Linked DNA regions of Macaca fascicularis. The protein of the gene in region 2 interacts with the protein of the main gene of each other region in a biochemical or structural test. Links are inferred from orthologs where the notes say so. Each region holds a gene or a part of one and is shown on either strand. Other genes may lie near its edges.

Region 1 (3,646 bases), on a different chromosome or scaffold from region 2:
ATGCACTCCCAGAGACTTCTCATTCCAGACTCCTGAGCACACCATGCTTCCCCGACCTGCTCCTCAACACCCAGGACTCTCTGCAAAACCCTCCAGTTTGTTTTATTGACCTTCTGCAGACTCAGGTCTCCTCTGAGATGTTTGCAGGATCCTTTAGGGAATGCTTATCAAACTCTGCAGTATTAGAGCATGCAGAGAAGGCCGTGACATTTAGCCAGCACTTTGAGGGTAAAGAGAGGAGCCTGGTTGGGTCAGGAGGAGACAGCCTGGGGCTTCAGACTCCTCAGTCCACCTTGGGTACTCCAAGAGCTGAGAGGAGTAAAAATAACAGTTAACTTTTTTTTTTTTTTTGAGACGGAGTCTTGCTCTGTCGCCCAGGCTGGAGTGCAGTGGCCGGATCTCAGCTCACTGCAAGCTCCGCCTCCTGGGTTTACACCATTCTCCTGCCTCAGCCTCCCAAGTAGCTGGAACTACAGGCGCCTGCCACCTCGCCCGGCTAGTTTTTTGTATTTTTTAGTACAGATGGGGTTTCACCATGTTAGCCAGGATGATCTCGATCTCCTGACCTCGTGATCCACCCGTCTCGGCCTCCCAAAGTGCTGGGATTACAGGCTTGAGCCACCGTACCCGGCCAACAGTTAATATTTTTATAGAACTGACTAGAAGGCACTGTTTTAGGTGCCTGGCATGTGTTAGATCATTTGGTCCTTACCACAGCCATATGGTGTGGAGAGGTATCATTACGATTCCCATTTTGCAGATGAGAAAATCCAGTCCTACAGGGAGGGTAATTTATTTTTATTTATTTATTCGCGTCTCACTCTGTCGCCCAGGCTGGAGTGCAATGGCTTGATCTTGGCTCCCTGCAACCTCCCAGGTTCAAGCGATTCTCTTGCCTCAGCCTCCCAAGTAGCTGGGACTACAGGCACGTGCCACCACGCCCAGCTAATTTTTTTTTTTTTTGTATTTTTAGTAGAGATGGGATTTCACTGCATTAGCCAGGATTGTCTTGATATCCTTACGTCATCATCCACCCGCCCCAGCCTCCCAAAGTGCTGGGATTACAGGCGTGAGTCACTGTGCCCAGTCTGGGAGGGCGATTTATTTGTCAAAGGTTGCACAGCTGGTGTGTTTATTATCTATATCCCCACATCGAGTAGTTTAAAACAACAAACATTTATTATCTCCCATGGTTTCTGAAAGTTGGATATTGGGAACAGCTTATCAGAGTGATTTTGGTTCAGGATCTCTAATGAAGTTACAAAGATATCATTGGGGGCTGCAGTCATCTGAAGCTTGGGACTGGAAGATTGCTTTCAAGGTGGCTTACTCACATGGCTGTGGCAGGAGGCTTCAGTTCGTTGCCAGGTGGAACCCTTGGTGGCACTGCTTGATCTTACTCACAACGTGGCAAGACAAAGTGTGAGGAAGCCGCATGCCTTTTATGACCTAGTCTCAGAAGTCACACACGCCATTGCTTCTGCCAAATCAGAAGCAAGTCACTAAGTCCTGCCCATGCTCAAGAGGAGACGATTTATTCTCCATCTTTTGCGGGGAGGAGGGTCAAAGAATTTATGGATCTATTTTAAACCAGCACAGCTTGTAAGAGGCATAGCCAGGCTTTGATGCAAGTCTGCTCTGGTGAGCTGGGAAAGTCTGTTCTAGCAAACCCTCATCAGAATACTACTCCATACCCAGCCAGGTTTCCCAAGACCCTTCCCAGCTCCTGAGTCTCCCAGGACCCAACTCAGAAACTCTTGGGAATTCCCAAATCCCCATAGATGGCTTCAAACTGCTGAGGCTCCCTCCAGTCCCCTAAAATGCCCCCAGTCCCCTGAGTGTCCTAAAACGTCCCCAGGCTCCCAGAATGCCCCCCTTCTGAGTCCCTGCTCAATCTCCCAACCCTCGTTTTGCTGCCCTAGGTATGCCTTGATGTCGCGGTGCTGGGAGCTAAATCCCCAGGACCGGCCAAGTTTTACAGAGCTGCGGGAAGATTTGGAGAACACACTGAAGGCCTTGCCTCCTGCCCAGGAGCCTGACGAAATCCTCTATGTCAACATGGATGAAGGTGGAGGTTATCCTGAACCTCCCGGCGCTGCTGGAGGAGCTGACCCCCCAACCCAGCTAGACCCTAAGGATTCCTGTAGCTGCCTCACTTCGGCTGAGGTCCATCCTGCTGGACGCTATGTCCTCTGCCCTTCCACAGCCCCTAGCCCCGCTCAGCCTGCTGATAGGGGCTCCCCAGCAGCCCCAGGGCAGGAGGATGGCGCCTGAGACAACCCTCCACCTGGGACTCCCTCTCAGGATCCAAGCTAGGCACTGCCACTGGGGGAAACTCCACCTCCCCACTTTCCCACCCCAGGCCTTATCCCCACCTGAAGCCCTATCTTCCTACCTATCCCACCTCCATCCCAGACAGGTCCCTCCCCTTCTCTGTACAGTAGCATCACCTTGAAAGCAGTAGCATCACCATCTGTAAAAGGAAGGGGTTGGATTGCAATATGTGAAGTCCTCCCAGGTATTAACATTCCAAGACTCTAGAGTCTAAAGTTTAAAGAGTCTAGATTCAAAGGTTCTGGGTTTCAAAGATGCTATGAGTCTTTGGTTCTAAGGACCTGAAATTCCAAAGTCTCTAACTCCATTAAAATGCTAAGGTTTTAAGGCCTACTTTTTTTTTCTTTTTTTTTTTTTTGAGATAGAGTCTCGCTCTGTCGCCCAGGCTGGAGTGCAGTGGTGCAATCTTGCCTCACTGCAACCTCCACCTACCAAGTTCAAATGATTTTCCTGCCTCGGCCTCCCAAGTAGCCGGGATTACAGGCACCCGCCACCACACCTGGCTCATTTTTGTATTTTTAGTAGAGACAGGGTTTCATCATGCTGGCCAGGCTGGTCTAAAACTCCTGACCTCAAGTGATCCACCCACCTCGGCCTCCCAAAGTGCTGGGATTACAGGCGTGAGCCACTGCACTCAACCTTAAGACCTACTATTGTAAGGCTCTGAGATTCTGTGGTTTTAGATTTTCTGGTTCTAATATTTTTGATAAGGCCTCAAGGTTTTAGGTTTTAAAGCTCTAAGATTCTGATTTTAGGATCTAAGGCTCTATGATTCTAGATTTTTATTTTTCTAGGGTTCAGAGTCCTTAGAATGTAATATTCTAGATTCTAAAGATTCTTTAATTCTAGACATGGAGGTTCTAAGGCCTAGTGTTCTAAAATATGATGTTTTAAGGCTCTGAGAGTCTAGATACTCTGGCTGTAAGACTCTAGACCATAAGCCTTCAAAATTTTATCTTCTCAAGTTCTAAGATTCTAATGATGATCAATTATAGTTTCTGAGGCTTTATGATAACAGATTCTCTTGTATAAGATCTTACATCCTAAGGGTCAAAAGCTCTAGAATCTGTAATTCAAAAGTTTTAAGAGTCTAAAGATGGAGTTTCTAAGGTCCAGTGTTCTAAGATGTGATAGTCTAAGACTTACTCTAAGATCTTAGATTCTCTGTGTCTAAGATTCTAGATCAGATGCTCCAAGATTCTAGACGATTAAATAAGATCCTAATGGTTTGTTCTGTTTCAAGGCACTTTAGATTCCATTGGTCCAAGATTCTGGATCCTAAGTATCTAAGTTATAAGACTCTCACACTCAG
Region 2 (3,646 bases):
GTCAGGATGACTCACCCGGCATCTGAGGGCCAGAACTCAGAGGCCACACTGCTGGCTGCAGGGCCTCGTCCCGTCCCCAGAGCCTCGCAGAGCCTGGGAGTGCTCCAGGCTGTTGTGCAGTGAGCTTGTGGGTCAGAGTTCCAGGCTAGGGTCCCCGCTGCCGTCCACTCTCCCCAGCGTCCCCAGAAGCACCCTGTTGTTGGTCTCCCTCTGTCTGTTCCCTAAATACAGCCCTGCCCTCCCCATTTCCCTTCGTGTTTCAGTCTGGGGTTCCCTCGGCCCAGGGCCAGAGCTGGGGAGCCCCGGGACACCCCAGAAAGTCACTGTGAATGTGCGCACCCCCGATGCTGTCCTGGGCGCTGCTCCTGCCACTGGGGCTTCGCAGGGGGAGCACCTTCCTCCTCCCTCCCGCCTTGGATCTGGACATGCCCAGGCGTGTCCCTGAGAATTTCTGGCATCGTTCTTACTGCTGCTGCTGGCTGTCCAGGACGCCGGACTGCGTGGATGGGACAGACAGTTGCTCAGGGAGAAACAGGCCCAGGAGCTGGAGAGTGAATCTGACCAGACAGGAGGGGCCACACGCTGTCCCCCGATTTCAAAAGGCAGCTGCTATTTGTGTCCACTTTGATGGTTCCCTTCCCTGACCACCCAGGAGTTAGTCCTCTGTGCAGATGATGTGATTCCCATCTTAACACATAAACCCATTTCCCCGTTCAGCTCCTCCTCTTGCCTGGAGGACAGAGCCCCTCCCATCACTGCTCTATCCCTGACCTGGAAGACAGCAGCACCCCAGGTTTAAAGAGAGGTGAAGACACGGTCAATCCTGAGAGATGACGTCTAAAGCACCTCACATGGGTCCCTGCACCAGTCGGGCACTCCGGGCAAAGTCTGGGCTCACAGTTACTGCCCACACTGACAGGCGTCCTGTCCTCTCCTCCTCCCCATCTTCCTCCTCCTCTTTCTTCTCCTCCTCCCCCTGGTCCCCCTTTTTCTCCCCCTCTTCCTCCTTCTCCTTCCCTCTTCCTCCTCATTCCCCCTCTTTTTCCCCTGCCTCCTCCCCCTCCTCCCATCCTCCCCTCCTCCCCCATCCTTATTCCCCCTCTTCCTCCCCCACCACTCTCAACCCCTCCCCTACCTCCTCCCCTCCTCCCCCTCCCCCTCCCTCACCTTCTCCTCTTCCTCTCTGCTTCTCCCCCTCCTCCTCCCCCTCCTCTTCCCCCCTCCTCTTTCTCCCCTCCTCTTTCTCCATGCCCCTGTCCTTGCTCTCCTCTGGTGACTAAAGGTCTTCATTTCAGGGTTGCCCCTTGTACCCCAGGGTGCTTGGCCATAAACAGTGTCTGTCCCACATAGATGTTCAAGTCTTAGGATTGTGGTTTAACCCGGTAGTGAAAATTGATTGAAACCTATAAATGCTTCTCTTTGGGGGTTTTGGTTTCAAATGCCCCTGGTGGAGTTGCTTTTTACTGCCCCGTATCCTGTGGCACCATCATTTAAATGGAACAGCACAGCGTGCACCACCGCCCCCCACCCCTGGACCAAGCAAGGCCCTTCCCAGCTCTCCATCTGCTGGGCTGAAATCAGCCTTCCCAGCCGGGCCTTGATCAGAAGCATGCCCCCAACACCCCAGGAGCTGCCCCGTCAGGGGAGGAGGGGAGGGAATTGGGGCCAGGGCGCGTTGGCCCCACAGAGCCTGGGTGTGATGTCCGGGTGGTGCCCTGGCCAGCCCCTACAGCCACCTGCCCTGGCCCCGTCTGAGATGCTGCCATGCTGAGGTTGGCCGGTCTTGCTTGCAGACATAGACGAGTGTGCAGACTCGGAGGCCTGCGGGGAGGCACGCTGCAAGAACCTGCCCGGCTCCTACTCCTGCCTCTGTGACAAGGGCTTTGCATACAGCTCCCAGGAGAAGGCCTGCCGAGGTACCCACGCCACGCGGTCACCCTCGGGTTCTCTCCTCCTCCTCTGACGCCCAAGCCCAGACACGGGTGCCGGTCACTGCCTGAGCCAGGGCAGTTGCTAACAACTGGGCGCTTCTGGTGAAAGAAAGTCTCTTTCCCTGTTTCTGTGAGCCTGGTAATGGCCTCTTCTACCACCATGCCCCCACACACGTGAGCACACACCCATGCCCCTTGTGCACACGAACGTACCGTGCACATGCATATACACCGCATGTACACACGTGCGTACCCTTCTCCACCTGCGTAGATGGGGCCTCTCCCCAAAGGTATGGGGAGCAGCAAGCCTCCCTCTACTGTTCTCTCTTTTCAGCCGCCATGGGGGGACCCTGTTGGCCGCAGAGCCTCCAAGAGGGGCCATGCCCCCAGTGATGGGAACAGGGGCTGAGTAGGCAGACAGAGAGGGTGGGGAGGCCCAGGCTGCCTGCACTGACCTCCATCTCCCACCACAGCTGTCAGCGCCTCTGTGCTCCCGGGGACACCTCACTGCACAGCCCGGGCCTTGTTCTTCCTAGACCTGCCGTCCACACCAGCCTGGCGGCGGGAGTGGGTCTGGCCCATTGGGAGCGTCCCCCTGGAACACCTGTAGCACTTTCACTCCCTTCAAGAAAGAGCCTGGCAGGAGCAGGCCGAGGGTGCAATCCTAGCTTTCCAATGGGGGCCTACAAACCCCAGGCTGCACCCATTAGAATCTGCACGTAATTCCCCGAGTGCACCTTGTGGTTTGAGCAGTTGTGGTGTGATCCTGCCCCGTACAGTGTAGAGGCCTCCCCCGCTCACCGCCACTTCCCTCTGGCTGGCAGATGTGGATGAGTGTCTGCAGGGCCGCTGTGAGCAGGTCTGCGTGAACTCCCCGGGCAGCTACACCTGCCACTGTGATGGGCGCGGGGGCCTCAAGCTGTCCCAGGACATGGACACCTGTGAGGTAGGCAGCCCCTGGCCCCGCGGGCCTCTCACGGTGGTTCTGGGGGCCCTCGCCGGTGGGGGCTTTCGGGAGAAACGCTTCCATGAAGACCTGGCTTTGGCTGCAGTGTTGGGATCTCCAGGGCCACGTGGAGGTTGGGATGAGAAACGCTTCTGCTCCCTGGAGGACGTTTGGTTGTTATATTTATAAAGTCTCTATATTTATAAAGTCTCTATGGCAACTCCCAACTCACAGTGGACCAGCCTGGTGTGGACCCCAGTGTGACACCCACGGGGCACGGTCCCCACTGCCACGTGCCAGGGAGCCAGCCTGACCGACCTGTCACACCGGGGGGATGTGGTACCCACATGGGGACGCTTCCCGGCAGGGCGGCTCTCGTGTTTCCTGTTCACCCTGGGCCTGTGCCTGGGGAGTTGGCGAAAGTGAGCATTTATTTAAAAAGCAAAACCACGGGATTCCACAGGTGAAACAGCCACCAGGACAGCTTCTCAGAGTCACAGACCTGGGACGCGGCTGTGGGGCTCTTGGGTCTGGGCTGTGATGTTCGGGGCTCCCAGCCAGCCCTTGCCTTGAGGTTCTCTGCCTCACTGTCTCGTGTACTCGTGCAGAGGGCGTTGGGCCCCTGCCAGGCGTCCAGCTCACCCTGGCTGCCCACGGTGGGCGGAGCAGGCCGGCTCAGCCCCAGCCCCAGCCCCTCTGTTTTCCAGGGACACCAGCTCGCACCGGCCTTGGTTCTGTCCCCCATAGGGCAGCATGGAGGAACCACAGC
Region 3 (3,646 bases), on a different chromosome or scaffold from region 2:
ATGACAGTGTGAGTATCAGCAAAGGTTTGAGCTTTCACCTAAGTAAGAAAAACTTGGCTGGGTGTGCTGGTTCACGCCTGTAATACCAGCATTTGGGAGGCTGAGGCCGGCAGATAGCATGAAGTCAGGCGTTTGAGATCAGCCTGGCTAACATGGTGAACTACTAGTCTCCACTAAAAAAAAAAAAGATTAGCTGGGCATGGTGGTGCACGATTGTAATCCTAGCTACTGGGGAGGCTGAGGCAGGAGAATCACTTGAAAAAAGAAGGAAAGAAAAACCTTCCAGGTACCCCAAATCTGTTCTAGTGATCTGCTTTTCAACCTGAAGAATGCATGAATTTGAGCCAATCTGCAGTCACTTAGTTGCCAGAGCACCCCATGATAAGAGACAGTGGCCTGTGCTCTTCCTGCTAAGGAGCAGCACCTGGAAAGAGCTGCAGACCAAGCCCCTAAGAGCTGACTAGTGAGTGTGATACCCCTGTCAACAAAGTGCTGGCCAGGCAGCCAGAACAAGCATGGCCCAGCCCGGAGAGCCTACCTGAACTGTACAGGACTGTAGCAGGGCTCGGCCATCAGCACCTGGCATCCAGGCCACACTAGCGTTGCTGCTGGAAAGCTTTGTCACGGTGACGTTGAAGGGGGCTGCAGGCAGTGCTGTGGACGGGGACTCAGAATCAGTGCCCAGTAGGAATACGAATGGAGAGAGCAGGAGGCATGGGAGTCAAGCCTTGAGTCTCTCTGAGGGTCCAGGGCATCCCCAACCTAAAGACAGCTACTCAGCACTCCCAGGATCACAGTAGTACACAAATAAGCAACCAGTAGGGCACAGCTGCTCACACCTGGGAGAGCGCCTGGGCTGTGGAGAGAGGTTGCCGCTCCCTGCAATGAAGGACCTGTGTGACTGAGGAATAAGATGAGAGGGTATGTGGGGGCGGCACCTCAGGCTTGGGAGATACAAGGGAGAGACAGGCAGCTGCCCCTGCAGCCACAGCCTGGCTCCTGCAGACACCCTGTCCCTCCCCCTCTCTCTGTGCACCAGCCCTTCGGGTCTCCTCCATCCGGTGCTAGGCTGTTTTCCCCACCCCCATCCCCTCAAAGGGAGGGGCAGAAGCAAGGCTGGGCATGGGCCTTGACCATCTCCTGCTGCTTCCCTCCCTCCTTCCCTCCCTCCCAAGGACTCTGCTTCGTGATGGGAAATCTGCTGTGACGTCAGGATTCTATTCTCATCTCAGCCACGCAGGGTCTCAGGTGCTCCCACTAGGAATGGGAGCTATGCCAATTAACCCCTCGCTCCCTAGATCCCAGCAGGACCACAAGGGGAGCTGGAACACAGAACAATTCTAACTGCAGGACAGCTCGCCGGGAATGCCCCTGGCCTCATCCACCCTTCCTCCCTGCCAGCCCTCCTACCTTGAAGGTGAACAGTGGCTGTGCGAGAAGAGGCCAGGCCTTTTAGGTTGTGAGCTTCACAGGAAAACATGGTGCTCTGGGTCACCCCTGGGGCCAGAAAACCTCAGTCAGCTCCCCAAGCAGCAACCCCTACTCAGTGCATGATTGGGAAAGGGGAATACTCAGGCTCTGGTCGGAACACCCTTAAAGCCCTCCTGCCAAAGGAAGGGGCTGGGCAGTGAGGCACGGTGAAATGAACAGGGACACTGGAGTCTGGTGAGCCTGGAGGGGCTCTGTTTTCTCATCTCTCAAATGGGAGAATTGTGGGAATCAGGTCATGTGTGTCAAGTGCACGAATAAGCCCTTAGGAAACGTTATACCACCCTCCCACCTCCATCCCATCGCCCACACACAGCACGAGTTGCCTCCCTTTTCTGGTCACTCTTTTATTACGCATACCAGAGTGAGCCCTTCTGTTTGCTCTGTGCCCCCTCGGCGTTGTTATTTGCAGACTCTCTGCCTTGCAATAGTTCTCAGCTCTTTATGCACGTGTCTTGTCTCCCCAATTATACTCAGTTCTTTGGCTTCTATTTCCTTTGTATTCCCGCTGTCCCCTGTGGTGCCTAGCACAGTGTGGTGTGGAGTAGGAGTTTAGTGAGTGCTTATTATCAGGCTGCCTGCCTGAGGGTCCCAACCACGCACACCTGGAAGGAAGCGAACCCAGCCTCCTCTCTAATCTGTTCCAACTCCGCGCCTCCTGAAACAGGACCTGCACTTGCTTCCAGAGGTCTCATAGTCCACCTCTTCTCAAGATTCAAACTGCTGGGGAACCCAGCTCAGCGCCCATTTCCCTGGCACCTTCCAGCACATGAGACCAAGCTCAGAGTCCCATTTTTTTGCCCAGTTCAAGCCCCAACCAGAAACAGTATACTTTGTTTCACGAATAAGCAAGTCTTACAAGCATGTGAGGGTATTGCCCAAGAAACTTGGGGCCCAGGTGGGTGTGCAGGTGTGACTGTGCAGACGTATGGACAGACACAGTTGTTTGGGAAAACGTCTGGAGGTTTCCCAGAAAGTGCCATTAGGGGAGGAGGCTTTGTGCTAACCTCCCCTTACCCCTTCTCTCTCCCTCCTCTCCCCTCTCTGCAGCCTGAGAGTCTTGTCTTCTCAGTGTCTGCCAGATACTCCTCCCTAGCTCTGCGTGGGCTGGTTTCTGGCTCCTTCCCTTGGGAGGGGCGGGGGATGGGTGCCCCTGGTCTCACACAATTCATCTCGGAGGGCCAGCTGTGCATGGCCTGGACTGCTGCGAACCAAAGAAGGTGGCCCCACACCCTCCTTAAGCACACACAGCAGGATCGCCACTAATCAGCCCACCCAGCCAGCCTAGCACACCTGACTAATGAGCTTAGTAATGGTGCAGCTCACGTCCCCAGACACTGGGGCTTGCTCTGGACACTCACAACCGCAAGCTCAGTGGCTGAAACTCTGCCAGCTTCAGTGCCCTCCAGGACCCAGCTCCTTCTCCACTCCAAGCCCCCTTCTGAGGCTGCTCACCTGTTACATTTAAAACAGATGGAGAGGGAGCGGGTCCCCCGATCTTCGTAGTTCCTCTCCACCAGACAATGGTAACAGGTTCAGGGGGACCCACAGCCTCGCAAGACAGTTGGAAAGGGGCATTGGGTGGCACTGCCAGATCTTTTGGCTCCACTGTGAAAAATGGCACACCTAGGAGAGAAGGGGAGTGAGGAGTGAGCCTTGCCACCTCTTGGCTTCCTACTGTACAAATCACAAGTGTGTTTACATCTGAAGTCCTCCACGCAGAAGGTTCCCACAGGCCCCTAACGATTAGGTCAACAGCAGAACAGGCGTCTAGCTTGAGAGGTGGGCGGTGCCCTTCTTTTTCAGGCTCCTTAGGAATTTTTTTTTTTTTTGAGATTGGTGGTCGGGAGGTCCCTCTATGTTGCCCAGGCTGGCTTGGAACTCCTGGGGGCTCAAGTGATCCTCTCGCCTTAGCCTCCAGGGTAGCTGGGACTACAGGCGCACACCACCATGCCTGGCACCTTAGACACATCTTTCATGCTGCCCCCTTAGGCATGGCAGATTTGGACAGCTCTTCTTGCAGTAAGAGGAGACTGGGGGTGGAGAGCTGGGGGAGGGGCATAAAACTCAGGGGAGTGGGTGGGAGCTTTAGCAGAGTTCTGCTGCCAGGCCCCAGCTCCCATTCAGAGCCCTTTGTTACTTTCTTAGTCACTTTGTT

What was found.
Region 1: the proteins of GAS6 (region 2) and AXL form a complex in vitro, tested with the Homo sapiens proteins (2 studies listed by BioGRID and IntAct, with this or other methods). The link is inferred for Macaca fascicularis from reciprocal best matches to the Homo sapiens genes GAS6 and AXL.
Region 3: the proteins of GAS6 (region 2) and TYRO3 form a complex in vitro, tested with the Homo sapiens proteins (2 studies listed by BioGRID). The link is inferred for Macaca fascicularis from reciprocal best matches to the Homo sapiens genes GAS6 and TYRO3.

The regions. Positions count from the first base shown.
Region 1 is NC_088393.1:48,396,917-48,400,562, forward strand, and holds part of AXL (tyrosine-protein kinase receptor UFO), read left to right. Parts: intron 1-1,922; coding exon 1,923-2,274; 3' UTR 2,275-3,646. UniProt on the Homo sapiens protein: Receptor tyrosine kinase that transduces signals from the extracellular matrix into the cytoplasm by binding growth factor GAS6 and which is thus regulating many physiological processes including cell survival, cell proliferation, migration and differentiation.
Region 2 is NC_088391.1:104,163,749-104,167,394, reverse strand, and holds part of GAS6 (growth arrest-specific protein 6), read left to right. Parts: intron 1-1,793; coding exon 1,794-1,916; intron 1,917-2,755; coding exon 2,756-2,877; intron 2,878-3,646. UniProt on the Homo sapiens protein: Ligand for tyrosine-protein kinase receptors AXL, TYRO3 and MER whose signaling is implicated in cell growth and survival, cell adhesion and cell migration.
Region 3 is NC_088381.1:18,122,968-18,126,613, reverse strand, and holds part of TYRO3 (tyrosine-protein kinase receptor TYRO3), read right to left. Parts: intron 3,115-3,646; coding exon 2,944-3,114; intron 1,498-2,943; coding exon 1,411-1,497; intron 655-1,410; coding exon 539-654; intron 1-538. UniProt on the Homo sapiens protein: Receptor tyrosine kinase that transduces signals from the extracellular matrix into the cytoplasm by binding to several ligands including TULP1 or GAS6. Regulates many physiological processes including cell survival, migration and differentiation.